Linked DNA regions of Notamacropus eugenii. The protein of the gene in region 1 interacts with the protein of each later gene in a pairwise test. Links are inferred from orthologs where the notes say so. Each region holds a gene or a part of one and is shown in the gene's direction. Other genes may lie near its edges.

Region 1 (7,411 bases):
TCCATGTGAACATTTGAGGTGGATACTCCAAATTTGCACATCCTACTTTTCTTTTGTGCTGTTTCAATTCTGCTTTGTTCTAAGAGCACAGCACCCTTTCTGATGTGGGCACGCCATGCTGAGCGGTCCTGTGCCAGTGTCTCCCATGTTGCACAGTCAAATCCAAAATGCTTGAGAGAGACCTTGAGAGTGTCTTTGTACCGCTTCTTCTGACCACTACATGATCTCCTGCCCCATGCGAGTTCTCCGTAAAATAGTCTTTTTGGCAAGCATACATTTTGCATTTGAACAACATGACCAGCCTGTCCGAGTTGAATTCTCCGAAACATAGTTTGAATACTTGGCACTTCAGCTCCGGCAAGGACTTCAGTGTTTGGTACCTTATCCTGCCAGGTGATCCTCAGAATCTTCCTAAGTCAGTTCAAATGAAAGCGATTCAGTTTCCTGGCATGGCGCTGGTAGGCTGTCCATGTTTCACAAGCATATAACAATGAGGTCAGCATACCTCTGTAGACCTTCAGTTTGGTAGTCAGGCTAATACCTCTTCTCTCCCAAACTTTTCTTTGGAGCCTCTCAAACACGGAGCTAGCTCTGGCAATGAGTCTGTCAACCTCAATATCAATGTGTACATCCCTGGGAAGTACACCACCAAGGTAAGTGAACTTATCCACAGTACTCAAGACTTCTCCATTTGTTGTAACCAATAGTACCACATATAGATGGTGTGGTGGCGGCTGATGAAGTACCTGTTTTCTTGGTGTTTGCCAGGCCTAGAGGCCTGTGTGGGCTACCCGAGTCTTCTTACCTCACCTCCGAGGTCTTCAGTTGGCCAAAACCGGATGCTCATATGAGAGAAAGGACGTTCCAGAGTCGAACAAGGGTTGAGCTTTATTTCAGGGTCTAGTTACAAGTGCAGGGGGGTCTTCCTTAGGAGGAAGAGGGGGAGATTTCCTAAGGAGGCTAAGATCTTAAGGGATTGGAAGTAGAAGTACAAGCGGGGAGAGAGGGGGAGGGGAGAGAGAAGAGAAGAGAAGCGGAGCCTACTGTCCTCTTGGCTCCTCACGTGCTAAGAGAGCTTTCAGGCTTCCTCAATCCTACTTAACTCTCCAGCAGCATAGTTTGCATCTAAATACCATGCTGTTAGATAACAATAGTGTGCCCAGATCCGGGACCATCTCGAGGGCGGGGAGATCTCTCTCCCATCACGTTTCTCATGGGGAGAGGCGGAAATACCCGAGCTAGCTCGGTTCACCTCTATTCCCTGCCGTTTCCTGGGAGGGTCTCGTGAGAGCTCTAAGATTTAGAAGCTCCCACCTTTACCCGCCCGAGACTGTCCACACGGAATTGAGCTTCCAATCCCAACAGGTGTTAATTATTAGGCCAAAATTAGCACAGGCAGCAGAGAATTGATCCATACTTTGGTACACTCAAGGTCTACTGTATTTTGTGTTGTCTCTAAGTGTGCACATGTTCCATGTGCCAGTGGTGAGTGGAATCATCTTTGCAGATGTTTTTGTACATTTTGTACATTTTTTTATGTTTTCACCGCAGAGTAGGATTCCCTGCCTGCCGTGGTGATCAGGCCAAGGTTGGATAAGCAGACAATTTTTAGGGCACCTTTTCTACCCTCCTTCGTCACACCAGGAGGTGAGCAGTGAGATCCTTAAAAGACTGCTCAGACACCAGGAGGCTGCCAAGTCCCACTGCTGCTTCCAGTGAGAAACGACCCTACAGCCTGGGCCGCCTGTGTGCAGGGTTGTGACTATAGCTCCCAGCAGCACCTCCTGCTTAATCACTTGCCTGTCGCCACAGGAATTTGAGGTATAATAGTAAAATAGTAAGGGTGATATCTTTTGATTCATGTGTAAATTGGATTTAAGTGAGGCAGAGTTGCACAGAGTTGTCAGACTCACTCTCTCCTCCAGAGTCATCATAGTCCAGTGGCAGGACAGTATCAAGATGACTAGCAATGGTTCAGGATACAATGGATGACCTTGGTGTCTTTGGTGTCTAACCAAGCTCTAAGTGCTCCACATTGCCTGCTTGAACTGCCTTCGTGGCTGTTGGAACAAATTGTTCTCATCCGCCCAATCCACCAGGGGAAGTCTTCACATGTTTGGGATAGACACCCCCCTAACTCACCAATGGGTTTGAGACCCCTTTGGCTACCTTCAATGAAAGGTTTATAGACAGGTGAATGCCAGATCAAGTGGGAAGATTCAAGGAGAGTTCAAGGGGGCTCCCAGAGCCTATACCCCATCAGAATGATGCCCAGAAAGTTATAAAAGGAGTGCATACCCCACAATTCAGCTGTACCACCACTAGGCCTATATCTTAAATAGCTCAGCAAGAGAGAGAGTGGAAAGGGACCTAATTATATAAGAATATTTAGACTGGATCTAGTAGCCAAAAATTGGAAACTAAGAGATTTTCCTCCTATGGGGGGGAAAATTATGGTATTTGACTGTAACAGAATATTATTGTGCCATAAGAAATGAGAATTTGATAATTTCAGTGGAAAACTGAGATGACATCTATGAACAGATGCACTACTGGAAAAACAACTTATACAATGCCACCGTTATAAAGAGAAGACCCCAAAATTTTACATCCTGCTGAATCTCAAACTGTAGTACAAAGCAATAATCATTAAAATAATTTGGTCATGGTTTAAAACAGGAGAAATCAAACAGTGAAATAGCTTGCGTACACAACACAGAGAAGAAAATAAACATAGTAGCATTGTTTAGGAAAAACCCAAAGACGGGATGAACTGATGGACTTTAAAAAGCAGAAACAAACACTTTTCAAGAATGGCCAACGTGGGAATTTATTTTGTACACGTATGAAGACAGTTTTATTTACTTATTTTTTTGCTCAGTAGGGCAAGAATGGGAAGGGCAGATTACCAGTTCGTGTAAGTATGCATGTGCATATATATATATGTGCGTGTGTGCATATAATGTATTTTTTTTTAAAGAAAGGTGAAATGGACAGACCAAGACAAGCACAGGCAAGAGTTAATTGAGAATCTGGGAGCGTCTTTATTAGCCGGCAGCTGTCCTCTAAGGGGGCAGCCCTGAACAAAGGTGTGTGTGCCTTTTAAGCATCTTAGCACCTCTGGGTACAGCTTTGTGGTTCCAAGAGCTCACATTTTTCACAGAACAGTTTTGACAGGGGTTCCTAGGTACTGCTAGGCAAGTGGATGCAACAGAGAGGGGGGCCCAGGCAGCTGCTAGGCAAAGGGGTACAACAGAGATGGGGGCCCAGGAAGCTGCTAGGCAAAGGGGTACAACAGAGAGGGGGGCCCAGGCAGCTGCTAGGCAAAGGGGTACAACAGAGATGGGGGCGCAGGCAGCTGCTAGGCAAAGGGGTACAACAGAAAGTGTAGCCACTAACAGTAAGTGGCTACTAGGCCCAACCCTGCCTAGAAACTCAACAGACATTTCTCAACCCAGGGGCTCTGGAGCCGGGGGGAATAATGTCCATTTCAAAAGGAAGTAGAAAGCAGCTTGGGCTGGGGTAGCCTTGGTACTCCTTTTTTTACTTGACCAGTTGTGTTTGTCCTTCTGGAAGAGGACCTTGACATCAAGGTGATGACACGCCTTGCAATTGACTTTGATTTGAGGGAGGCAGGGCTGTGCAAGGTCACCAGCCTCACTTTCTCCTCCTGAGCCATCTGGGTCCAGTGGCCTGACATTCATCAGGACAGCTGGAGATGGCCCAGGATGCACTGGGAGACCCTGGCCCTTTCAGGCTAAGGCCTTACCACATTCTCACTTTGGGTGAGACACACCCATTCAATGAATGCGCTTCTTTAAGTAGTTGCTCAAGGGATGGTCCCTTTAATAAAAAAAAAAACCAAAAACAAACTGGGAGAAGACCCTCGGGGTTCCTAGGTAAAAGAGAAACAGTTACTATTTATTCAGTACTATTTAGCATTTGGCCAGTGGAGGGAGGGAATGCAAGGGCGAAGCGTGGCAGGCTGTGTGAGCTGCAAGGTAGAGAGCCAGGGGCGGGGGCCACCCGCGTGGGTGAGTTGGTGAATCCAAAGAAAAAGGTGTGGGGTTATTATGGAGCCTTCCCAGCCATCCCAGGTCTTTCTTGGTCTTCTTTCTTCAACTCTGAGCCCAGGCTCAGCCCCCAGCCCCCAGCCCCGCAGGACCTCAGCCCCCTGCCCCCAGCCTCCATCCCCAGCTTCCCGGGGAAGCCCCAGAAAGTGGAGCTAGAGGAGGGGGCCTGGTCAGAGGGAGACCGTGGGGAAGTCGGTGAGGGGCTGGGGGCTCGGGGGGAGGGGCAGAGGCGTCTCGGGCCGCCACGTGATCCTCATCACTTAGGAATGCGGTGATGTCACTGGGGGCGTGGCTCTCCCCCAAATTGATGTTGAAGAAAAAAGAGAAGGCAGAAAAAGTTTCTTCTGTCTCGGAGCCGGAGCCAGAGCCGGGGTGGAGACCAGAGAAGGGGGCCACCTCCGTGGGCGCCGGAGGAACGCCACCGCGGAGTTCCCACGCGCTCCTCCACTCGTGGCGAGAGCCGCCTTGCCTGCCATGTCCGGCCCCACCTGGCTCCCCCCAAAGCAGCCGGAGCAGAGCAGGCTCCCCCAGGCACGAGCTCTCGTGCGGGGCACTCCCGGCCCCTCGGCCCACGGAGCAGGTAACGGGCACGTCCAGCCCAGGACCCAGGGAGTGGAGGGTGCCCGATGCCCCCCTGGTCCTCGCTTCCTCCGGGCCCGCTGCTTCCCTTGCTTTTCCTACGCCCCTGCTGCAGACCCTCGTGCCCCACCCCCACCCGCCCCAGCAGGTCTCGCTGCTTCCCAGTTCCTTTCTCTTAGCACCTGGGCTGTGCAGACAGGAAGCCTCGGGGAGCAGTGAATCGGCCCCACGCCCTCCCTCCCTTGTTCCTGGAACCCTGCTTTTCTCTTCCCCTTTCCTGGTCTTCCTCCTCTAACCAGCGCCCTAAGCCCACTTCGTGTCTAGGCAGTTCCTACCATTTCCCAACAGAGCAAGGCTATCAGGGCTCAGGCCGACCAGAAGAACTGGCACCAGCCTTGGGGAGATGCCCCGGAGCCTCCCAAAGCATACAGGTGGGAAGTCGAAGGATTTTGAGGTGGGGGCTGTATGTTTGGGTTCCCAGGAAAAGGGTCCAGAAACTTCCTCATTTCTTCTTGACCACAGGGGCTTCGGCCAGACAGGGGAGCCGTACACCTAGGAAGTCTGGATGCAGAGATAGATTCACTGACCAACATGTTGGCTGACCTGGACAGCAGTAGGGGCCATGCCCCATGTCGTCCAGACAGACAGGTGACTCCCTCCCAGAATCCTCCTCTTTTGCCTCTGCAATAACATACCCTTGGAAAACAGAAAGATCTTTTCCCCTATAACTTCTACAAGATGTCAAATCCCCTAACCTTTTCCATTCCAGGGCTTTTGGGTTGTGTCATAATATATGAGCATGAAAGAAGTCCAAGTTGTCAAGGTAGATCCCACTCATCCTATGGTATCTTTATTTCTTTTTAGGCATGCGAGCCCCTTCGGCCCCCTCCCTACCGTTCAGGTTTCCTGAAACCAGGTGGAGGAGTGACCACTCCACCAAGGGTTCCAGCCCCATCTTATGGGGGCCCTACCCCTGCCTCCTATACCACAGCCAGCACTCCAGTTGGCCCTGCCTTCCCGGTCCAGGTGAAGGTGGCTCAGCCTGTGAGGGGGTATGGTCAGTCCTGGCGGGGTGTCCCTCAGGCCTCTAGCCCACCCCCAGCTCCTTACCCTCCTTCAACCAGTTGGGCTGAGTCTTGGGGGGGTTCCTATGAGGGGCACAGAGAGCTCAGGGCCAAAGAGGAGAATGTTGGAGCCTCTGGCCCAAGAGGAGGAAGAAGAACAGGAGGATATATACCTAAGGTGAGGAGGATGTATACCCAAGGTGAGCCAGGAAGACTGGCCATTGATGGGAAATGGGTGGGAGTGATTCTACAGTAGGGGTGGCAAAACCCCTTAAAGGAAAGTTGGGTGGCTAGGAGAGAGGAAAGAGGCCACTCAAGGGACCAAGGTGGCCTGGGTTCTTCCATTTTCTTTGGCTATTGTGTTTGAAGATGAGAGAGACCGTGCAGTTGGTTCTCATGGGAGGAACCCTGGATTTGGGGCTAAAGGACCCAAATGTGAGCTCCAGCTCTTTAACACTTACTGAGTGATTAAGCAAATCCCCTCACTCCAACTTCCTCCTCTTTTACAATGAAGATAATCATACGCCTTATCTACCTTAGGAAATTCTAAAGTGCTATTCATTGTAAACTGTTCTTTATTATTATGTGGTTCTCTGCAATACATAGCTCCTCCTTCTTGGAGATTTGGGGGCAGGACAGGGGACAGAGGGGATTGAGTCTCATTCTGGTCCCCTTTTCCCATGCCCCCTAGCAGGCTGCCCCCAGCAGGGCTCCCCCTGAGGAAGAGCTGGAGAGACTAACCAAGAAGCTGGTACATGACATGAACCATCCACCCAGTGGGGAATACTTTGGTGAGCCAGGTTCTAAACATCTGCATTTTTTTGAGGGGGGTGCAGGGATGTTCTGGTACTCTCTAGACTAAAATTGAATCTCTCTTCTTTCTTCCCTTCTCCCCCTCCCCACTCCCTGCCTTGCTCCTTAGGCCGATGTGGGGGCTGTGGGGAGGACGTGGTAGGGGATGGTGCTGGGGTTATTGCCCTCGATCGTGTCTTCCATGTTGGCTGCTTCGTCTGCTCCACATGCCGGGCTCAGCTCCGGGGCCAGCACTTCTATGCAGTGGAGAGAAAGGCGTATTGTGAAGGCTGCTATGTGGTAAGTGACAGGAAGCCAAGGTTCAGAGTGAAGGAAGATTTGGGATCGGAAAGAATTGCCAAGCTAGGGAAGTAGATAATTTAGTCCATAAGGGCAGCTGGGTCTGAATGTGGACTATGCCAGGTAAGGTACATGTCTTCAGATTATTCCCTATAGGGTTTGAGACTCAGTTGAGTGTCAAGATGTCGGGAGGCTGGGGATCCAGACATTTGGGTTCTGGCAGGGAGTTTGACTGGAAAGTTGACTGTGGGACTTCTTCAACAGGCTACTTTGGAGAAGTGTTCCATGTGCTCCCAGCCTATCTTGGACCGGATTCTACGGGCCATGGGGAAGGCCTATCACCCTGGCTGCTTTACTTGTGTTGTGTGTCACCAAGGTCTTGATGGCATTCCTTTCACAGTGGATGCCACCAGCCAGATCCACTGTATTGAAGACTTCCACAGGTCCTGATGATCCCTGCTCACTCAGCCTTTCCTTCTCTGTGGTCTTAACAACTCCATTCCCCTATCTCCATTCCCCCAAATCTTTACCCCATTCATAGGGATCATAGAAATCATATAGTGTCAGAAGAAACTTGAGAAGCCACCTGGTCCAACCTTTCAT
Region 2 (7,612 bases), about 23 Mb from region 1:
TTGGGGTGAGGGGGAGGGGAGAGTTGGTGAAAATTTTGGAACTCAAAATCTTGTGGAAATGAATGTTGACTAAAATAAATAAATTAATATTTAAAAAACATAAATGCTTGAGCAACTAGGTGAAGGCATAGCACATAGATCTCTGGGCCTAAAGTCAGGGATTCATACTGAGTTCAAATCTGTCCTCAGACACTTACTAGCAGTCTGACACTGGGCAAGTCACTTAGCCCTCTTTGGTTCAGTTTCCTCATCTGTAAAATAGTACACCACTTCAGCATCTTTGTCAAGAAAACCTAAAAAGGAGTCACAAAAAGTTGGACATGACTGAAACAAATGAACAACAATAACAATAGATGCTTACTGACTAGCTGCTATTACAAAATTAGTTTTGATCTCATGGACCCTTTGAGAAGGTCTTAGGGACCTCCTGGGGCTCCCCATCATCTTTTGAGAACTGCTACCCTAGACATTCATTTTTCTAAAACCATTCAATCTCTTTTGAACCACTCCCTCCAAGAATTCTCCTTTCGACTTTGTGAATCCAAGATTCATCACTGACTGAAGTAATAAAAGACTGTCTTTTTCTTAATCCCTGATTTAGGTATCATAACCCTAATCACTTAACCACTTTCTAGATGACTCCTTATTAGGTTGATTAGAAGACAGGGACCTGGGAGTAGATTAGAATGAACAGAAAGGATTTCTGTGCCAGACATTGTTTTGAATTGGCAGGAAATCTGTGATAAGTGTTTCTTATCCAGATTAGTTCAAAGGCAGAATAAAACTGCTTTCTTAATAGTTCTAAGGACAAACCCCCAACAAGCCCCCCGCCCTCCCCCGCCACAATGTACATGTAGCACAAGGACCTTCTATGTCAACAACTACTTTTCAGAGGCAAAGGAAAAAATTGGTAGAATAGTGGCAGACAGAAGCTCCTAAGAAGTCCTGACCTACTTAAATGACCTATTGGGAAGATGGGTGTTTAGGAAGATACTAGATCAGGAGGAAAGAGCAGATCATAGAATCTTAGTACTAGAAAGAAAGTCATAGGTGGCCATTTTATTTTTGCTTGCCTCCTTATATATAAATTGAAGGGGTTAAGTCAGATGGGTTCCTAGGTATTTTCCAGCTCTAATTCTCCCAAGGTAGCCCATTCCATTTTGGGATAGCTTTCAATATTAGGAAATTTTTCTTTACATCAAGCTTAAATGTACCTCTTTGTAACTCTGAGTTCTGTTCTCTGGGGTAAAGCAGAAAAAAAATCTAATTTCTCTTTCATGTGATAGACCTTCAAACACTTGAAGACAGTTATCTTGATCTCTCTAGGTTTTCTTTCTTTAAACTTCCTTCTCCGGGGCAGCTAGGTGGTGCAGTGGGTAGAGCACCAGTGCAGGAGTCAAGAGGACCTGAGTTCAAATCTCACCTCAGACACTTGACACTCACTAGCTGTGTGACCTTGAGCAAGTCACTTAACTCCAATTGCCTCATCCTGGGTCATCTCCAGTCATCCTGATGAATATCTGGTCACTGAATTCAGATGGCTCTGGAGGAGAAGTGAGGCTGGTGACCTGCACAGCCCTCCCTCACTCAAAACAAAGTCAAGTGCAAGTCGTGTCATTATTTCTCTGATGGCATGGTGTTCTCTAGCAACGAAGGACGGACACACACAAAAGGGTGGGTGGGTGGGATTTAGTTTGTTTCCACATTCCTAAATCCATCCTTCTTTCAAATTCCCCTTTTTTTCATCCAGAACCCTAGAATCTCAGTTTCTCAGGCTCTTATTCTTCTCCCTATGCGTGTCTCTCTGCTGAAGTAAAAATTGTTTTCTTCAAAGTTACAAATGACTTCTTAATTGACACATTTGACTTCCTTTTTTCATCTTTATCTCTTGAGTTCTCTGCAACATTTGATACCGCTGATCAGCTGCTTCTTGTAGATAACTTACTTTCTCATTCTACATCAGTTGTAAAACCCTGTAATTTCTACCTTCACTGCACCTCTTCTATAGTCCCCTTCTCTTTGTTCACATAGCTGTCACCTCAACCTTGGGCGCTCACTGCCCTGGGTCTCTCCCCACTCCAATCTATCCTCTCCTTAGCTGCCAATATTTTCCTAAAATGGAATTCTGTCCCAACTCAGTTTACTCTAGTACCTGTTTATTAATGTTCATTATTCATTTTTGAAAAGGACTAATGACCACATGGGGCGATGACTTGACTTGGATTTAAGTAAGGCAGAATTGCACAATTCTCCATCTCACTCTCTCTTCCAGAGTAATCAAAGTCCAGTGCCAAGGCAGAAGTCAGGACAACTGGCAATGGCCTGGGATGCAGTGGATGACCTTGGTGTCTTCAATGTCTGACCAAGCTCTAAGCACCCCACAGTGCCTGCTTCAGCTGCTTTCATGTCTGTTATAAAAACTGTTCTCATCCTCACAGCCTACCTTGGGAAGTCTTCATATACTTGAGGTAGATATCCTTCTAATTCACCAGTGGCTTCGAGGCCTGTCAGTTACTTTCAACCTGGTTTAGCCTGTCTACTCAGACCATTTTACTGGGGGGTGTGATCACTGGGCATGGCACAGCTTCCTGGAGCCACAGGGGAGAGTTAGTGAGACAGATGAATACCAAAGATGCATGAATAGCCTGAAAAAGGCTTAGTAGGTCCTCACACTAAAGGTGCTAGTCTTCCCTGAACACCCCATGCATCCCTATTATTATATATTATTACATACTCTCTATTGCCTCCAGTATTGAATATAAAGTCCTACCTTGGGCATTTAAAGCCCTTCAGAACCTGTCCATTCCAATCTTCTCATGTTTTATCCCTCTCCAGAATCCAGCAATGCTGGTGATATGGATACAAAGGTGGCCTAAGGGTTAATATTAAGGGTTGAGTTTTCAGTACTTTGAGAGGCCGCTCCTAAGTTTGAGGGCATCCTAAAGTCTCTTCCCCTTGTGTGTGTGGGAAAGCACGAACCCCTTTACTCAAATTGACGACTCAGAGGCATCTCAAGGTAAAAACAGAAAAATCTCCTTTATTCCGTTCTTGTGAGAAACCAGGAGGTACCTTCATCAGTAAAGCAGGAGTAGGAAGGAGCCTTACAGAAGCAGAATGGCAAATTTATATAGATGCTGACGTGAAAATTCCCCTCCCACCACTGACTATTATTCTCATTGGCTGAGAAGTAAGGTCTTACATTCTAGGCACGAAATCTAACCAATCCCTTTTGAAACCCAGTTCAAATTTCCCACTCCTGGACGTTACAAAGCCTGTGAAAATACACATCATTATATGCAAATTAGGCATTGATAATATATGCAAATGATGCATTGACAACTCATACAAATTGGGCATTGAGAACTTATGCAAATCAGGTGGACCTGTGTGAGGACTGCAGACTGCCTGCGCATATGCAAATTAGGTATTGAGGAGTTAGTGAGTCATATCCAATCATTGATCCTAAAGCAACACATAGCCTTATATGGAAATCACCTGACTCTGGAGGAAGGGAAACCTGGGCCCAAGGTCTCTTCCACTCCAGAGAGAAGACTCCATATTCCTGAGAAGTCTTCACTAAATCTGTTCCCATTCACCCTTATCTTGAAATACCATAAAACTTCCCACTTATCCTGGACTATAAAATTCCTTGTCTTCCCCCATCCTGGATCATAAAATTTCTCCTGTCTCCCTTATCTTGTGTCATCCATCTTCCTCATCCTGTCCCTAAATCTCTAACCCGCATTAGAAACCCTAAAAATTACATCACCATCCTACAGGCTATATAACTTCTTCTCTATATAAGTCTGGTTCTTTTCCTGTATCACTGCCTTTGTTTAGCTCTTTGTTAATCTCAGACTCTGCTGCTTTTGCGTCAATAAAGCTCCCAATGGCTACAGAGAAGGTCTAAGTGAACCCTTTCAAATCTGAACCAGCTGTCCCAACTCTGACCTCAACACTGGCATACTTTAACTTTCTTCTCATCCTACACTCCATCCCTATAGCTAATCATTGATTTCCCACACGCCTGGGATGCTTCCCTTTGCCTCCTGGCTTCCTTTAAGACTCATATCAAATGCCAGCAGGGGGCCTTTCCCGGGTATTTCCTATGCCCCTCCCCCCAACCCTCAGTGCCTCCCCATCTTTGTGACCCTAGGCAAGTCACTTCCCCTTTGCCTCATTTTTCTTCTTTGTAAAATGGGAATAATAATGGCACTGCTCTGTTCCGGGGTTGTTGTGAATATGGTGTGAGGTCCTCTCCTGCCCTGACAGCCCTTGCTCTGCTGTGATTATAAAGTCATATGTGTAAAGCATTTCACCAGCCTTAAGACATTATACGGATAGTTATTATGCCTTTGTTAATGAATGCTGATTGGCTCAGCCTCGAGCGCCCTCTGGCGGCCCCTTGCGTCTTCGCTCCTTGCAGCAGCAGCCACGTCCTCTAGAGGGAGACCTTCCAGACTACGCTCTGCTCTCTGCGCCCTGGGCCTGCTGCTCGCGTCTCGTTGGTACGGTCAGGGCGACCTCTGACCCCGGAGGCTGCGGCAGCGGCGGCGGCGGCGGCGGCGGCGGCGGCTGCAGCTGCGAAGGGAGGGGAGGGGAGAGGCGGAGCAGGGCGGGGCGGGGAGGCCTCCGCTCTGGGGCCGGCGCTGGAACCGGAGCCGACCCGACCCGACCCAGGAGCCGGGAGTGGGGCCCCTGGCTCCGCCTGGACGGCGGGGCGATGTGAGTCCGGGGCGCGCCGGGCCCGGGCCGCCCCCTCCTCCTCTTCCTCTCCGCCCTCGGGGAGCTGCCCTCGGCCTTGAGTTGTGGAGGAGCCGGGCCTGGGCTCCGAGACCGCGGAGGGGGGAGGGACCCGTCCCCGCCCCCCGCCCGTCCTTGCAGGCATCCCTGAGGGCAGCCCCGAGGGCTGGGGCGGCACACCCCCGCCCCCCTCCTCCACGGAGGACCCCCACCCCTCCCCCTCCCCGGGATCTCCCAGCCCGGCTTGGCCTGAGCAGGGTGAGCGCAAGGACCGGCGTCCAGCGGGCCGGCCTTCTCCATTCTTCAGGTCTCGGAGCTGAATCGCTTCCCTGCCAGGGAAGGGGCCGGGAGGCTTGGAGACTGGAGGGGCCTCGGAGCCAGCCTGAGGATGGAGCAGAGCAAGGGTTGTCAGGGCGGGAGGGGCCTTAAATCACAGAATGTTAGAACAGACCTAGGTGAATGGCAGAGCTGGGAGGGACCTGAGAACCTAGAATGTCAGAACAGACCTAGAATGGCAGAGCTGGGAGGGACCTGAGAACCTAGAATGTCAGAACAGACCTAGAATGGCAGAGCTGGGAGGGACCTGAGAACCTAGAATGTCAGAACAGACCTAGAATGGCAGAGCTGGGAGGGACCTGAGAACCTAGAATGTTAGAACAGACCTAGAATGGCAGAGCTGGGAGGGACCTGAGAACCTAGAATGTTAGAACGGACCAAGATTGGCAGAGCTGGAAGGGACCTGAGAACATAGACTGTTAGAACGGACCAAGAATGGTAGAGCTGGAAGGGAACTGAGAACCTAGACTGTTAGAACGGACCAAGAATGGCAGAGCTGGGAGGGACCTGAGAACCTAGAATGTTAGAACGGACCTAGAATGGCAGAGCTGGGAGGGACCTGAGAACCTAGAATGTCAGAACAGACCTAGAATGGCAGAGCTGGGAGGGACCTGAGAACCTAGAATGTTAGAACGGACCTAGAATAGCAGAGCTGGAAGGGACCTGAGAACCTAGACTGTTAGAATGGACCAAGAATGGCAGAGCTGGAAGGGACCTGAGAACCTAGACTGTTAGAATGGACCAAGAATGGCAGAGCTGGAAGGGACCTGAGAACCTAGACTGTTAGAACGGACCAAGATTGGCAGAGCTGGAAGGGACCTGAGAACATAGACTGTTAGAACGGACCAAGAATGGTAGAGCTGGAAGGGAACTGAGAACCTAGACTGTTAGAACGGACCAAGAATGGCAGAGCTGGAAAGGAACTGAGAACCTAGAATGTTAGAACAAATATAGAATGGCAGAGCTGGAAGAGACCTCAAAACATAGAATGTTAGACCATAAGGCAATATAATGCTAGGACTGGAATGTACCTTAAAACAGTAATGTCAAACTCAAACAGAAAGGGGGCCACTGAACCATTGATAAGGATCCCTATGGGCTACCTACTAAATCAAATTTTAAAATGTAATGATATCTGTGGATTTTTTTAAAAATAATTTTATTTATTTTGCTAAATGTTTCCTAATTACATTTTACTTGGTTGTGGCCACGGACATAATTGACACCTTTAGCCAAAGAACATTGGAGCACAGAACTGTTAGGATTGTCAGCAGAACACAGAATGTTAGAACACAGAACTTGTAATGTTGGAGATGGAAAGATGGAGCTAAAAGGTACCTTAGAACATGGAATGCCAGAAAACAACATAAAATTATAGGGCTAAAAGGAACTTTAGAACTTAAAGTGTTAGAATATGAAACGTAGAATGTTAAAGTTGGAAGGCCTTCAACTCATCTCAACAAAGGCAGAAACTGAGGCCTAGAGAAAAAAAGTAACTTGCCTAAAGTCTATACAGCTAGTAAGGGCAAGAACTCAAACCCCAGGCTCCTGTTTCCCTGGCCTGTGCTCTTTCTATTATCATATTATCACTCAAAAGGACCTTTGATCATCTTGCCTGGCAAGTTTCAGTAGGTAACAGTCCTGATCTCTCTCTCTCTCTGCAGGGCAAAAGGGTTCATGGAGGTGTCAGGTAGGTTGCCCAGAAATTGTGGGAGACAGTTTGGCATAGGCAAGGTCTGTTTCAGAGCAGAAATAGTCTAAAAGTATATTTGTTACTGTTATGAATTGGATTGATTTAGAAAACAAAGTATTTCCTTATGATTTATATTGTGTAATGTAATGGAAAGAGCACTTGATTTGGAGTAGATCTGAAGTCAAATCCCAGCTCCATTACCGTCATTGTGTGACCTAGAAAAAATTATTTGCTCATGTGAAACAATATTACCAATCTCAAATTTTCCCATTTGGAACAGTGTTACAAATTATATCTAACTTGAATTAAATTATCTTTAGTGTACTTTATAGCTCTGTTTATGAGAAACTGATAAAACAAGAGGGTGCAATTTCAGCAGACTGACGGTTTGGGGGTGATTTTCTCTCCCTCCTATTCAGATAACTTCTTCCTGGAATCAGGAAGACCCAAGTTCAAATCCAGTCTCACAAACTAGCTATGTTACCTTGGACAAGTAACTTTGCCTGTTTGCCTCAGTTTCCTCAATTGTAAAGTAGGAATAGTAATAGGACCTACTTCTCAGGGTTGTTTTGAAGACCAAATGAGATAATGTTTTTAGAAAGCACAGTGCCTGGCACATAATACTTTATATATAAATACTTAATCTCCCCCCCACCCCCTTATAGATGTCTAGGGCTTGCATGTTCTGAGATTCAGATACTATAGGTCCTGTGGCCAGAGGACCCAGGCACTATAAGATCTTCAATAAGGGAGCACCTTAATAGGGCTCTAGTAAATGGAAAGAAAATTTCTCTCCAGAAGAAGCAAATAATAATTTGTGCCTTACCTGTCTTGTAAAAG
Region 3 (7,014 bases), on another chromosome or scaffold:
TTCAATCGTTTCTGACTCTTCATGACCATATACATGTGGGGTTTTCTTGGCAAAGATAATGGAGTGGTTTGCCATTTCTCTTTCCAGCTAATTTTACAGATGAGGAAACTGAGGCAAACAGGATAAAAGTCACATGGCTAATAAGTGTCTGAGGCCAGATTTGAACTCAGGAAGATGAATTTTCCTGACTTCAGGCCCAGCACTCTATCCACTGTGCCACCTTAGCATCTTTGTGGGTTAGGAGTGTAAATGCAAGGTTTTGCGCTCCACAGATTCATAATTTGGTATGTATAAATAGAATAGATGGAAGGCAGCCTTAGAGGGAAGGCATTAGCAACTAGGGGTGAGGGAGAACCAGGAAAGGTCACTTGCAGAAGTGGAACCTGATCTGAATCTTAAAAGAAGCTAGGAATTCTAAAGGGCAGAGGTTAGGAGAAGGAGAGAATTCCAGGGATGGGATACAAATAGTCCAAAGTCATATAGATGGGAGATGGAGTTTTTGTGTGAGCCACAGCAAGTTGGTTAATTTGGGTGAACTGTCCAGTTCATGGAGGGGAGTAATGAGTAAGAAATAAAGGAAGGGACTGGGTTGTGAATGGCTTCATAATGCTAAACAAACTTCTTTACATTTGATTCTAAAGGTACCACACCACGAAGCCATTGGGGGTGATTGAGTGGGGAAGAAGGTATCTATATAGTCAGACCTATGCTTTAGGAAAATCATTTCAGCAGCTATGTGCAGGATGGACTGGAGTAGGGAGAGACTTGAGATAGAATCCAATTAGAAGGTCATTGCAGTAGTCTAGATGAGAAGTGACAACAACCTGTACCAAGGGGGATGCTGTATTAGTGGAGAGAAGACACATGAGAGAGATTTTGAGAAGGATATTACATAATTTGGCACCTGATTGGAAATGCAGAGCAAGAGTGAGGAGTCAAGGATGATTCCAAGATTATGAGCCTGAGGAACTGGAAGGATGATGATGCCCTTGCTAGTAATAAGGAAGTTTATAAGAAGGCTGGGTTTTGTGAGAAAGAGAATGAGTTTTGTTTTGGACATGTTGAATCTGAGATTTCTATGGATACCTAGCTTGAAATACCAATAAAGTATTTGGTAATGTAGGGTTAGGAGAGAGACTAGAACTGGATATGCAGATCTGAGACTCCTCTGCATAGAGATAAATGAATCCATGAAATTAATGTGATCACCAAGTAAGAGACCATAGAGAGAAAAAAAGGAGGGTCCAAGAAAGAAACTTGGGGGACACACATAATGGGCTTGACTTAGATGCAAATCCAGCAAAGGAGACTGACAAAGGGTCAGATAGGTAGTAGAAGAACTGAGAAGTCTCATAAAAACCTGGAGATGAGAGAATATATAGGGGAAAAAAAAGGTAGTTAATGTGGAATGTTACAAAGCAATCGAGAAAGTTGAGACCTCTTTCTTTGGCAGTTAAGAGACTTTGGTAACTTTGGAGAGAGAAGGTGGTTTCATTTGCATGATGAAGTCAGAAGCTAGATGTCAGAGAGTTTAGAAGCTAATGTTTAGGAAAAAAAAATAGTGAATTCAGGCCATGATTGGTGAGTGAGTGTAGAAGGAGGTCCTGGAGGATAGTCTTGTCCTCTGTTTATTCAATAAATAGGCATGATAGGAGGAAGAAGAAGGAGGAGGAGGAAAAGGAGGCGCAGAAGAAGGAGCAGCAGCTGCTAAGACTGCCAGCACCTCCCAGGAGACTGGTCTCAGAGGCTTAACTTGACCTCAGCAGCTTACTGTTTCCTGTTTCTCACATGACAACCTAGGATTCTAATGACCAAAACCAGCCACTGCTCAGGAACATGTCTAGTTGCAGTGGCTCTCTGTTCCTGGATGGTCAATGGGAAGTCTCTCTCGTGGCCAAGGAAAAGGAAACAGGGAAATCCTGGTTCTTCTTCATACAGGTTTTGTTAACCCCCAGTATCTCACAATTTCATTTCCTTGTGTAGTAATTACCTTGCTTTGTTGTTATTGAGTTGTTTTCAACCCCATCTTGGGGTTTTCTCGGCAAAGATACTGGAGTGGTTTGTCATTTTCTTCTCCAGCTCATTTTATAGATGAGGAACCTGAGGTAAACAGGGTTAAATGATTTGCCCAGGGTCACACAGCTAAATAAGTGTCTGAGGCCAGATTTGAACTGAAGAAGATGAGCTAGCAAACTCTTGAAGGAATATGGTCAGGTCTGAAGAGCGTTACATGATCAGAACTGTACTTTAGAAAGTATCACTCTGGCATCTGGGCACAGGATGACTCAAAGGAAGGAGACATCGTTTGTAGGGAGACCAGTTAGGATCCAGTTGTGACAGTCCAGGTGAGAGATAATGAAGGTCTAGCTTGGGTGATGACAGGAGTACTGGAAAAGGGCAACAGACATGAGATACACAGCAGAAGTGAAATTGACAGAACTTGGCAAGTGATTAGTTGTGAGGCCCAGTGAAGAATGGTTTAGAGTCTCCTGCTGAAGAGTTTGATCATGCCATTAAAGGATGTGGTTTCCTAAGGAAGATGATGCCTTTGGTTTTGGACATTTTGAACCTGAAATGGCAGTGGGACCACAAAGTAGAGGTGTTTTGTAGAAAATGTGAGGTTATATAGTTGAGGAGAGAGGTTAAACTATAGACAAAGGAGGAGTCATATACCACAGAAGGTGTAATTGAAACCTTTAAACAAATAAAATCATGGAAAAGGAGAAGTAGGGAGGGTCTTGGGAGAATATACTCATTTAGGGGTTAGGAGAAGGAGAAGGAGCCAGCTCTTGAAGTTAAGGGGGGAGGGGAATTTCAGGGAATAATGGTCAAATGGTGTCAAATTGTTTGTAATTGCTTTTATTGTTTTTTCTTCATTCTGGAAGAAGACCACGACATCGGGGAGGTGATGCCATGACATGCAGATGAATTGGATTTAAGTGAGGCAGGCTGTGCACAGTCACCAGCCTCACTTTTTCCTCCAGAGTCATCTGGGTCAAGTGGCCCCACAAAGATCAGGACAACTGGAGATGGCCCAGGATGTTAAGGGGGACCTTGGTCTTTCCAAGTTAAGGTCTCAGTTTCAAGAATCAAGTCATGCAGAGATGAATGAGCTAGTGTAGAACATGGAAGGAACCTTGAAGATATTCCTCCTTTTACCGATGAAAAAACAGGATGAGATGAGGCAGTTACTTTCTCAAGGTCACAAAGCTGTTAAAGTGACAGAGCCCTTTCCATTCCATCATGCGGTTCACTCGGAGGAAAGGTAATTGGATTTGGCAATTAGGTCATGGGTGACCTCAAAGAAGCAGTTTCAGCAGAGTGGTGGGGGCGGTAGTGAGATTGCTAAGGGGGTTAAGGAGTGAGTGGGTCGTGAGTCACTGGAGGAGAAACAGAATTTTTAGAACAGGAAGGGAACTTAGAGGTCACCTCTTCCAGCTCCCGTATTTTACCGATGAGGAAACTGAGGCTCTGAGAGCTGAAATAAGTTGCCCACGGTCACACGGCTAGTCGAGTGGCCAAGGTGTGTAACCTCCGCGGACGGTGCATCACTCGGGGAAGCCTCAGCAGGGCCCTGATGAAATCTAGGGCACACGTGGAGGAGAGGGTGGTAACTAGGGTCAAACTCGGGTACAATTTCAACAAGAGCGGTGGGGTCTGGGAGGGGCTGAGGGAGGTCTTTTGGGAGAGACTGGTCACGTGGCCAGGCCGCACTGGTAACTCGAACTTGGCTAGCACGCTCCGGGCAGCCGCAGCGTCGGCCCCAGAGGAGGGCGCTTGGGAGCCGGAGCCCGGCAAACCTGGGCCCACGCGGGGAGCCAGAGCGCGGCGGTGACGTCACGGTTGCCATGGATCCGGGCAGTGACGCGAATCGGCACGTGACGCGCGGTTGCCATGGCGCCGGGCGCCGGGCGGCGCGGGCGCCCCGCCTCCCCAGTGACGTCTTCCCCGCTTCCCCCTCCTTTCCCGCCCCCTTGCCCCCCTCCCGGCTCCCCGCGGTCCCGGAGGTTTCTCTGCACAACAAGATGGCGGCGGCGGCGGCAAGCGGAGCTGGCGGGGCTGCGGGGGCCGGGGCCGGGGGAGTCGGTCCGGCTGCCCGCCTGCTGCCCCCGCCCGCTGCCGGACCCCCGGCCGCGCCCGCCCCGGTGCCCTCGGCCGGCACCCCGCGCCCCCCAGCCCCGGCCCCCCGCGGGCCGATGCCCGCTCGCATCGGCTACTACGAGATCGACCGCACCATCGGCAAGGGCAACTTCGCCGTGGTCAAGCGGGCCACGCACCTCGTCACCAAGGCCAAGGTAGCGAGCGGCGCGGGGCCGTGCGGGGCGTGCTGCCGGGCCGGGCCGGCGGGGGCTGCCGGCCAGCGAATGTTGGCGGAGCGAGCGGGGAGCGGCGAGGACCCGGCGGGGGCAGGGGCGGCGGGCGGCCGGAGGTGCCAAGGGCAGGCGCCGGCTCGGGGGGCAGCAGGGGCGCCCCCGGCCGGGGGGGGAGGGGGCGAGGCACGGAGAGAGACAGCGGCTGCAGGGAAGCTAGGGGGAAGTCACTGGGGACCAGGAAGCGGGGAAGCCCGGGGGGCCGGCGGACGCGTCCGCAAGGGAGCCCAGAGGAGCCTGGGCAGCCCTGCGGGCGAGGGGCTGGAGGACCCCCGGGCGGCCGGGGCCGGGAGGAGATGAGGACCATGGGCAAGTAGGAAATGGGGAGATCGCGCCCGGGGGGCCCCGGGGCCGTGCTGGGGTCCTTCCAGCCTGAAAAGCGGTTGCGGGGGAGACGGAGACCCTGGACAACCTGGACCTCGTCGTGGTGGGGATCGGGGGATCGTCCGTGCGCTGGGAGATTGGGGAACAGACGACGCTGAATCTGGGATGGCATGGGAATGGTTGGTTGGATTCCGGGGATCACAGGTTTGGGGAGACCCCAAGTGTCAGCAGCTTGTGGATGTCAAGCACTGCTTAGAGACGGACCTAGCTGTACCAGTCTGGAAAGGGGGTGACCACTTCCTGAAGAGCACAGGGATAGGGAACGTGGAAATGGCACTCTGGAGGTTCTTGATTTCCCTAGGAGATTGTGCCTGGGAAGATAGCGGTGGAATTTGAAGAGGAAAGATTCTACAGGGCGAATGGGAAAGGAAATCTTGGAGAGGATAGGCTTTGGGGTTGAGGTGCGTATTGGTAGGGGAAAGTATTCTTTCACCAAGACCAAGGCATCTGGATATTTGTAGGAACAGAGGTATTGGTGTTGCAGGTAACACCTCCCTAGGTTGTTGTTGGTTGTTTATCCCCTCGTCTTTTCTCTCTTGGAGAAAGGAGGAGCAGCACCTTCCTGCAGCCTCCTCTCTTGGGCATTGTTTGAATCTGAAATCAGGTGGATTTTTTTGAATTTGATAGAGCTTACCAACTCCATCTTTTCTGTTGCCAGGAAACAGCCTGTTGTTTTTCTCTGAGGCTCTCAGTCTCCCAGGTCCTCATTTTCCTGGGTCATTCTCACTTGAATTTTCTGCTGCAGATAATTTCAGCATGTGAAATAACCTTTTCGATAATATAGGCCAGGAGTTCTTATCCTTGGGTCCATGAATTCCCAAGGGGTCTGTGGATAGATTTTAGGAGATCTGTGAAGTTAAAACTTTTAATATATTTAAAATCGTATTTCAGTATAATTGGTTTCCCTTGTGAGACAGTGTATTTGATTTTACGAATTTAAAGGCTTTGTGAGAAGGTCCGGACTGACAAGGGGTCCATGACACACACACAAAAAGGTTAACGATCCTGAATCTAGGCCAACTCCTTAATATTAGAAGTGAGGAAACTGAGACTCAAAGAGACCAAAATGATTTGCCTAAGATCACGCAGCTGATAGAACCTACGGTCCAAATTTTCTGATTTCTTGTGGTCTTTTGAATGCACACATTCATTCTGTTTGTTATTTTTCTCAAGTTTGACTTGTGACTTGATCAGAACCCCCATGGCTGCTGACTCTTCTGCCAAAGCCTAGTTTTTCCTCCAACCCCTTAGGCTCTTATCACTTATCTTTTCTCTCTACTTATTATTGTAGTGAGAACATTTATTTTCAGGAATTAGTGATTTATCTGGGCCTTTTTTCTCTAACTCCCTTGCAACCTTGAAGTTCCTTTTTTTTTCTTTTTCCTGTCAAAGAATACAAGAGCCCTTCCTCTCCAGGGTGTATAGCTGGGAGAGAATTGATTGGTCAGTTTCACTTCCTCTAGGGGACTCCCTTCAAACTTTTTCTTAGTTTTCATCTTTGGGCCATAGGCCCTTGAGGTTAGAATAAAATGAAAACCTAAAAATGTTTTCCTAAGCTGAGGGTTTACTTGAATTGTAACCCATGTCAGTGAAACTGACCAGTTAAACTTACCAGTCTCTTTTACCACCAACTAACCCAATGTTTACAAACAATTTTAATAGTTCATGTCGTTATTTTGTTTTAGTATTTTCTTTTTTCACTCTTAAATGAGCATATTGTTCTCTGTTGACCCTTGTGGGATAAACACCATACACTAATTTGTGATTTAAAGAATTTTGTGTCTTCTAACTTTTGGATATCTCTGAATATTGATTAAATCAGTGACAACAGGGTCAAATGTTGTCTTAAATATTATTTCAGGTATTTGATTCTTTTTATCCTTGGTAGTCAGCAAAGCTGGAGCTCAATTATCACTGATCTCCTTGTTTTCTAATTTTCCAATATTTCTTTTTCATTGTTCCTCTGTGAGTCCTTGGTATCTTTAGGACTCTGAAACATTTTAAATATCAGATTGTTTATAAATGGGTGTCATTGTTTGTGTTGCTTTTTATCTCTGTTGGTTTGTGGTGTAGATTTTAGCAATTCCTAAGTATGGAAATATTCGAAGTCTTGAATGAGACCTAAATGACTTAGATAGTGATTTGCATACATGATAGAACCACACCAATAAGCCCTGTGTTTCTATATAGTAGCTTTTAATTTCCCAGTTACTGTTACAAGTGACTTATCCTTTGCTGCTTAAAAAACTCTGAAGATATA
Region 4 (7,309 bases), about 440 Mb from region 1:
AGGATTTGTGGTAGTTGAGCTGTATCTTAAAGAGAAGGATTCTGGGAGGTAAAGGGAAGGAAAGAAGGCATCCCTTTCCAGGTTGGTGAATGGGATGAAGATGAAGAGTAGGAAGATGGATTGTCCTATCTGTGAGAGTGAGAAAGCAGGCCCAGTTGTCTGGATCCAAGAGTGCAGGAGGAAGAGTAATGTCCAGTGAATCTGGAAACATAAGTTGAGGCCCAGATTGTATAGGACTTTGAAAACTAAGTGGTGGGTTTTCTATTAGATCCTAGAGACAATGGGGTGGAATGAGTAGAGGGATCATATGATTAGATCTGCAATTAAGGAAAGTCACTTTGGCAGCACTAAGTAGGATAGACTAGAATAGGAGACACTTAGGGAGGGAGACCAATTAGGAGGTAGGTGCCATCATCCTGGTGATGAGAACTGAAGTGGAAGCTGGGTGCTTAGAGGTAGAAATAGCAAGATCTGGGAAATTATTGGCTATGTGAGGTAAGGGTAAGGGACAAGTTAAGGGTAATGTGGACCTGGAAGACTGGAAGAATGGTGGTACTTTGACAAAATTGGGGAAATTTGTAAGAGTGGAGGGTTTTGGAGGAAATATAATAACTTCAATTTGGGATACGTGGAGATTAAAATGTCTCCAGGACATACAATTTGAAATGTCCAATGGGAAATTGGTATAGGGGGACAGAGGCTCAGGGGAGAGACTTGGACTGGAAATGTAGTTCTTGGAGTCCTCTGAGTGGAGATGACAGTTAAATCAATGGAGCTGAAGGAGTGAAAAGTGAAAAAAGAGTGACAAGAATTTAAAATAGAACCTTTTGAAATACCCACAGTTAATGAATAAACTTGTAAAGGACTGAGAAGGGCTCTTCAGTCAGTGTCAGGAAAATCCAGAGGATGGAGCATCCAGGAGGAGAAGACAGTCAACAGTGTCACATTCAGCAGATAGGTCAAGAAGGATGAGAATTGGGAAAAAATACAAACAAAAACCAAAATTCCACTACAACAGAATTGGCACTTAAGAGATCTTGGGGAACTTTGGAGAGAGCAGTTTCATCTGAGTGATGAGGATGGATGCCAGCTGGTAAAGGGTGGAGAAGAGAGTGGGAAAGGAGCTTCTTCATTCAGGGAAGGTAACCAGCTTTTTCAAGGTATTTGACCAAGAAAGAAGACGAGATACAGGAAGATAATTCAGGGGATGGTAGTTTTCAGTGAAGAGTTGTGTGGTTTTTTTTTTTTAAGGATGAGGAAGACTATATGATATATTTGAAGGCAGTCCCGACAGGTAAAAGAAGTTGAAGGTTTGTGAGAGAAGGGGGTGATTAAGGATGTTGGAGAATGGGGCCCAGGGGTTTCACTGGGGACACATGTAGAGGGGTTGGCTTTGGCCAAAAAAAAAAAAAAAAGAGCCAAGACCTCTTTGTCAGAGACTAGGGCAAAGTGGGGGAGAGTGGGAAATAGATGACAGCCAAGGGATCTGAGATGACAATAATGGATAAGAGAGAGAGAGAGAGAGCTCACTTTGTGTAGACCTAATTTTCTCAGTAAAGAAACAGGCTTCCTGAGAAAGGGAAGTGTGGGAGGTTGGGAGAAGGGAAGGGCATAAGCATGTGTCTTGGGCCTTCCATGTGCCAGGCACTGAGCTAAAGGCTTTGTGGAGATATTATTTCATTGAATTTGAGGTTGAAGTTTCTATCTCTACAATCTCTCTTCATCTCTCTATTGACCTCATCCCCTCTGACCTTGGCTACTGATTATAACATAATGAGTTTCCCTGCCTCAAGTCTCTGCATTCTCCTTTGAATGTTTGAATGTTTGAATGTAAGCACAGATCTGACTTCGATACTCCTGTGCTCAAGAAGCTCCAGTGCTCTCTCTCTATTGCCTTAGAATTCAAATAAGCCTTCCTTCATGTGACTAATTCTCTTCACAATCTGACTTTAGTCTACTTTTTCAAAGTCTTTTTATATTTAACCATGGTCTCTGGTGCAGTAAAATTGGGCCTTCTGCTCTGCTTTACTCATAACACTCTGTTTCCCATCTCCAAGGCTTTGCCCTGGCTGTGCTCCATGCTTGGAATGTCCTCTATCCTCACTTCTATTGGAATCTCTAGCTGTCTTAAAGCTTGGTCTACAGAAGTCTCTTCTGATTCTCTAAGTTGTCAGTACCTTCCCTTACCCAGGATTACAGCGTATTTATTTAGTATATGTTTTCTTCAAACAGAAGAACCTTAAGGGCAGAGACTGGGATTCTTTTTTTGAGAGGGGAGGGGTCTTTGCATTTCCAGCACCTGGCACATCAGAGGAATTTAATAACTGTTGGGTAATTGATTGGTCACCCAATGATCTTCTGGAATGTGATTGTTCTCTGATGGACTAGCCTCATGAAGTTGTCAGCTGCCTCATCAGAGATGGTACTCAGCAAGCTATTGGGTGTTATAGAAGAGGCTTGTACAGTTGGGCTGGATATGTGGAGTATTAGAAAGATGGCCCTGGCCTTTGGAGTCAAAGAGTCTCCAAAGAGACAGTTTGAGTCTTGTTCCGTCTCTTAACAGCAGTGTGACCTTGGGCAAATAATTCTCCCTCTTCAGGCTTTTAACAGAAAGGGGTCAGATTAGACCAGGGGTGGGGAACCTGCAGCCTCTAGGCCACATATGGCCTTCTCGGTCCTCAAGTGCAGACTTTTGATGGAGTCCAAATTTTACAGAACATTCCTTTATTACGGAGATTTGTTCTGCGGAATTTGGGTTCAGTCAAATGGCCAACCTTGAGGATCTAGAAGGTCACATGTGGCCCAGAGGCCAAAGGTTCTCCATCCCTGGACTAGACCTTCAGTGGTCAAGACTCTTTAATATGAACTTTCTCTCACCTTTCTGAATCCTTTATCCTTTAAAGTTATGCCTATAATGATCCCAGTCATAATAGAGGTGTTTAATCATTTCAGCTGTCATAATTAGTTAATAATTAATATAAAGCAATTAAATGATATGCTTTAGATTCTTTGTTGTGGTAGAGCTTCAAGAAAGGGAGTCAACACAAAATGATCATTTGACTATTTGGTAAACACAGTACAGGCAGTACAGGAATATTAACTAACAAATTGTCATGACCTTTCAAAAAAGACCCTATTGTCTATGAGCAAGGGGAAGGACCAGTCCACTCTTCCCTTTCTGGAGTCCTGGAGGAGTGAGCCTTAGCCAAAGAAAAGCTCATTTATCACAACAGAAAAATGTGAACTACCTGTTTTCTCTCCATAGCAATGAAGGGAGAGTGATTCTGAAATGATCTTTCTGGGTACAATAAGCAACAATGACCATCTATCAGCTTATGAGATGGGCTCTGCTTCCACCACACACAAGAATAAACTTAAAGGTTTGGAAAACACTTAGACACCGCATCTATTTGCTGCTTTTCAACAAGCTCCTGTTACATCCTTTCTTATGAATAAATAGAGGTGATCCCAAAGCTCTAATAGCCTTTATAGCCATGCTAAGGCTTTGGGGACCCTTTATTTAGTTCCTTCCCTGAAAGGCCAGTTTAGAGACCTGAGTCCCATTTCCAGAAAGGGAATTTCTATTAATTAATGTCATCTGCTCAGTGACATTAAGGCCCCTCCACACAAACTTTATTAGTATCTGATTTAGCCTCAACAATTTCCACAAAATACAGAGTCATCTAGGATCCCAAGGAGCTCGGTTTTAGCACTCACTCTCTCTACCTGCCCGCCCCTTCCCTCACATGACCTTGGTATTGAAGGGGCAGCGAGGACCCCACTTCTGTAACTCACTTTTTTCTCACAATTCTATGCAAAGACAGCATCCTTCGGTAAATGCCTGGATTTCCAGGAGCTCCTGGGAGGATTCTGCCCAAATTAGCACCAGACAGGACTTGGGGCAGGAGGTGTCAGAACTGGGAATGTAAACCCCCCCCAGATCCCTGAAGGCACAGGCCAGGGGTCCCCGGCGAGGGCTGCCTCCGTTCCAGGATCCTAACAGACCGCGCTGCGGAGCGAGGTGCGGGGAAGCGGCGGACTCGCTTGGTTATTTATTGGATACTTTGTATCCCTCCGGGTCTTCCTCCCTCCTCGCTCCCCCCGCCCGCTCCCCGCCTCGCGCGGCCTCCCTCCCTCCTCCTGACAGTTCGCGCTCCCCCTCCCCTCCCGGCGCAGGTCTCCGGCTCCCTCGCCCCTCCCCTCGGGGTTCCTCGCCCCTCTCCCCCCCGCCCCCTCCCCGCTCCCGCGGCACTGTGGGTAGACAGCAGCCCGGCGGCGGCGGCCACTCGGGGCAGCTCCGCGGGGCGGCTGCGGCTTCGGCTTCGGAGGCGGCGGCTGGGGCCGGGCCGGGGCTCGGCCGTGCGGAGGAGGGGCCGGGCTGGGCCGGGCTGGCGGGCGGACCATGGCGGAGAAGCCGAAGCACGACGGGCGCGTGAAGATCGGCCACTACGTGCTGGGCGACACGCTGGGGGTCGGCACCTTCGGCAAAGTCAAGAGTTGAGTGGGGGGCGCGCCTGGGCGGGGGGGGCACAGGGGCGTCCTCCCCCCCGGGCCGGGTGCGGGGTTGGGGGTCACCTGTGCGCCCCTCCCTGTGTACACCTGTCCGGGGGAGGGGGCGGTGGGGGCCATCCTGCCCCGGAGCCAAGACTGGGGGGGGGTCACCTGTGCGTCCCACTCAGTGTACACTGTCGGGGGAGGGGGCTGTGGGGTCGGCCCTCCCCCAGGGCCGGGTGCAGGGCTGGAGGGGGGTCACCTGTGCGCCCCACGCAGTGTACACCTGTCTAGGGAGGAGGCGGTGGGGGCGATCCTCTCCCAGGGCAGAGGCTGGGGGCGTCACCTGTGCGCCCCTCCCTGTGTACGCCTGACTGGGGAAGAGGCGGTGGGGGCGATCCTGCCCCGGAGCCAAGACTGGGCGGGGGAGGGGGGTCACCTGTGCGCCCCAGGCAGTGTACACCTGTCGGGGGAGGGGGCTGTGGGGTCGGCCCTCCCCCAGGGCCGGGTGCAGGGCTGGAGGGGGGTCACCTGTGCGCCCCACGCAGTGTACACCTGTCTAGGGAGGAGGCGGTGGGGGCGATCCTCTCCCAGGGCAGAGGCTGGGGGCGTCACCTGTGCGCCCCTCCCTGTGTACGCCTGACTGGGGAAGAGGCGGTGGGGGCGATCCTGCCCCGGAGCCAAGACTGGGCGGGGGAGGGGGGTCACCTGTGCGCCCCAGGCAGTGTACACCTGTCGGGGGAGGGGGCTGTGGGGTCGGCCCTCCCCCAGGGCCGGGTGCAGGGCTGGAGGGGGGTCACCTGTGCGCCCCACGCAGTGTACACCTGTCTAGGGAGGAGGCGGTGGGGGCGATCCTCTCCCAGGGCAGAGGCTGCGCGCCCTTTCGTAGCCCAGCTGTCTAGGGGGAGGGGGAGCGGGAGCGGGAGCGGGGCGCTGCGGGGGCGTGGTCGGGGCTGGGTCACTCGGGTCCTCCCCGCCCCTCCCACACCTGTCTCGGAGGTTTTGGCTCGGGCCCCAGCCCTGCCTCTGGCTACCTGCGTGACCTTGAGAGGGGCCTGGCTGCTCTGGGGCTTCTCGGGGCACTCCCCCTCTTCCTAGGGTGGGGCTCCCCTGTGTTAAGTGCTTAGGCACCATGGTCTTTGGTCCCAGGTTCACCTCCTAACTCTGCTGCGTGAACGTCCTCTATTTTTCACTCTGTGAAAGGAAGAGGTTGTACCCGTTGGTGTCGGGTCTCTCCCACCTGGAGCCAGGATCCTGGGCAGCAAGTGAAGCAAAGCTTCTGGTCCTGGATGACCTTAGGCCGGCCCTTGTCCCTCCCTGGGCTGCTGGGAGATCTGGATGCCAATCCAGCCGCAGCTCTGGCTCCTGGCTGGGAACACCGGACAGGGCTCTGCCCGCCCCATCCTTCTGCCTTCGTTTTCTCCCTCCTCCGTGTGGGATGAGAAATGCTTGTCCCTCCCAGGCCGGGCACTGGCATACTGTGGGGAGAGAGGGCTATGGCAGAGTGCATAGCTGGTGGCATCGCTACGTGGTAGCTCGCTGGGATCACAGAGGCACCTTGACCCAGTAGATGCCGGAGTTACTACTGCTAGTCTTAAGAAGGAGCTTTGCGTTCAAATCCCAACTCTGGCACTTCTTAGCTGGATTAAAATGAACAAGTCAATCTCTTTTAGCCTTAGTTTCCTCTTCTGTAAAATGGAGTTAACAAAACTTAGAGTAACTAGTGCACCTAGTGGTCTTCAGGCTCCAACAAGATAGTGTATGGAAAACACTTTTTTATAAAATGCAAAAAGCCTTATTATTCTTATTTAGAGTATGATAGGACCATTATTATAATATAAATCTAGTACTGCTTTAAATTTCCCCCCTACTGTCTTTCCTTCTAGATGCATTTATTAAGCATCTGCTGTGTGCAAGTCTTGAACACAAAGGTGTAAGACAGTTCCTTGTCCTCATAAAGTTTACATTCTGGTGGGAAGGGAAATACAATCTATGTAAAAAAGTAAATAAAAAATGTACAAAATGAATCCATAGTAATTTTGTGTAGGGGTGAGTATAGTTTGGTGAGTGAGAATGAGGTTGGAGGTGACACTGACGGCACTAATTCCTAAGAAGATAACATTATTCCAAAGACAGGGACAGCCTCCCTGTGTAAGGTCCCAAAGACCTGGCCTGCAAGGTTCTGTTCTCCTCCAGGCAGCAGTAGCATCCTCCCATTTCCATAAACTCTGTCTGTGGCCTGCTGAAGGAGTTAGTATCCTGGCCACTCAGGGACTGAGACAGCTAGCTGTCTTCAGGCTGTGGTACAGAAGAGGAGTGTGATTTATTCTGCATGAGTCAGGAGAAAAGCAACAGGGGCAGGTACAAGCAAGGAAACATCAGCCCCACAAAGAAAACCTTGCTTCCACTGTTCCAGTAAGTTGACTCAAAATGGAGTGAGCTGTTTTCAGTGTAATGAATTCTAATTCTAAAAGTGTATCGTGTGAATGTTTTCTTTTGGGGTGGGGCGGGGAGCTGGCTGTTAACATTTACCAGCACACCACAGGCCTCAATCATCCTTCATTTGTGTGAAACCAGAGGTCTTTAGTGGAGTCATATGGGGATAGATGAGGGTTGAAATAAAGGCCTTCTGAGGTTACTTTGAGCATGCAAAGTTCTATGATAATCAGGATGGCAAGGGGGATTCTGAAGCTGCCTCTAAGTGGTTTGAAGGCAGTTTGCTGGAAAGGTCTAGCCAGCTTTTGAGAGCCAGCATGGTTTTAGTGGGAAATGTAACACCTGGGAGTCAGAAGACAGAAGACCCGTGTTGCAGCCTGAA

What was found.
Region 2: the proteins of TRIP6 (region 1) and FRS3 interact in binary tests that used the Homo sapiens proteins (3 or more experiments, as listed by UniProt). The two-hybrid records come from large-scale screens. The link is inferred for Notamacropus eugenii from reciprocal best matches to the Homo sapiens genes TRIP6 and FRS3.
Region 3: the proteins of TRIP6 (region 1) and SIK3 interact in binary tests that used the Homo sapiens proteins (3 or more experiments, as listed by UniProt). The two-hybrid records come from large-scale screens. The link is inferred for Notamacropus eugenii from reciprocal best matches to the Homo sapiens genes TRIP6 and SIK3.
Region 4: the proteins of TRIP6 (region 1) and PRKAA2 interact in binary tests that used the Homo sapiens proteins (3 or more experiments, as listed by UniProt). The link is inferred for Notamacropus eugenii from reciprocal best matches to the Homo sapiens genes TRIP6 and PRKAA2.

What each region holds. Positions count from the first base shown.
Region 1 is NC_092873.1:79,910,887-79,918,297, reverse strand, and holds the start of TRIP6 (thyroid receptor-interacting protein 6), read left to right. Parts: upstream 1-4,409; 5' UTR 4,410-4,547; coding exon 4,548-4,653; intron 4,654-5,000; coding exon 5,001-5,083; intron 5,084-5,174; coding exon 5,175-5,300; intron 5,301-5,516; coding exon 5,517-5,894; intron 5,895-6,407; coding exon 6,408-6,507; intron 6,508-6,638; coding exon 6,639-6,808; intron 6,809-7,072; coding exon 7,073-7,251; intron 7,252-7,411. UniProt on the Homo sapiens protein: Relays signals from the cell surface to the nucleus to weaken adherens junction and promote actin cytoskeleton reorganization and cell invasiveness. Involved in lysophosphatidic acid-induced cell adhesion and migration.
Region 2 is NC_092873.1:102,751,478-102,759,089, reverse strand, and holds the start of FRS3 (fibroblast growth factor receptor substrate 3), read left to right. Parts: upstream 1-4,608; 5' UTR 4,609-5,001; intron 5,002-5,007; exon of another isoform or gene 5,008-7,612. UniProt on the Homo sapiens protein: Adapter protein that links FGF and NGF receptors to downstream signaling pathways. Involved in the activation of MAP kinases. Down-regulates ERK2 signaling by interfering with the phosphorylation and nuclear translocation of ERK2.
Region 3 is NC_092876.1:135,012,647-135,019,660, forward strand, and holds the start of SIK3 (serine/threonine-protein kinase SIK3), read left to right. Parts: upstream 1-4,010; 5' UTR 4,011-4,025; coding exon 4,026-4,295; intron 4,296-7,014. UniProt on the Homo sapiens protein: Positive regulator of mTOR signaling that functions by triggering the degradation of DEPTOR, an mTOR inhibitor. Involved in the dynamic regulation of mTOR signaling in chondrocyte differentiation during skeletogenesis.
Region 4 is NC_092873.1:516,705,554-516,712,862, forward strand, and holds the start of PRKAA2 (5'-AMP-activated protein kinase catalytic subunit alpha-2), read left to right. Parts: upstream 1-4,305; 5' UTR 4,306-4,402; coding exon 4,403-4,496; intron 4,497-7,309. UniProt on the Homo sapiens protein: Catalytic subunit of AMP-activated protein kinase (AMPK), an energy sensor protein kinase that plays a key role in regulating cellular energy metabolism.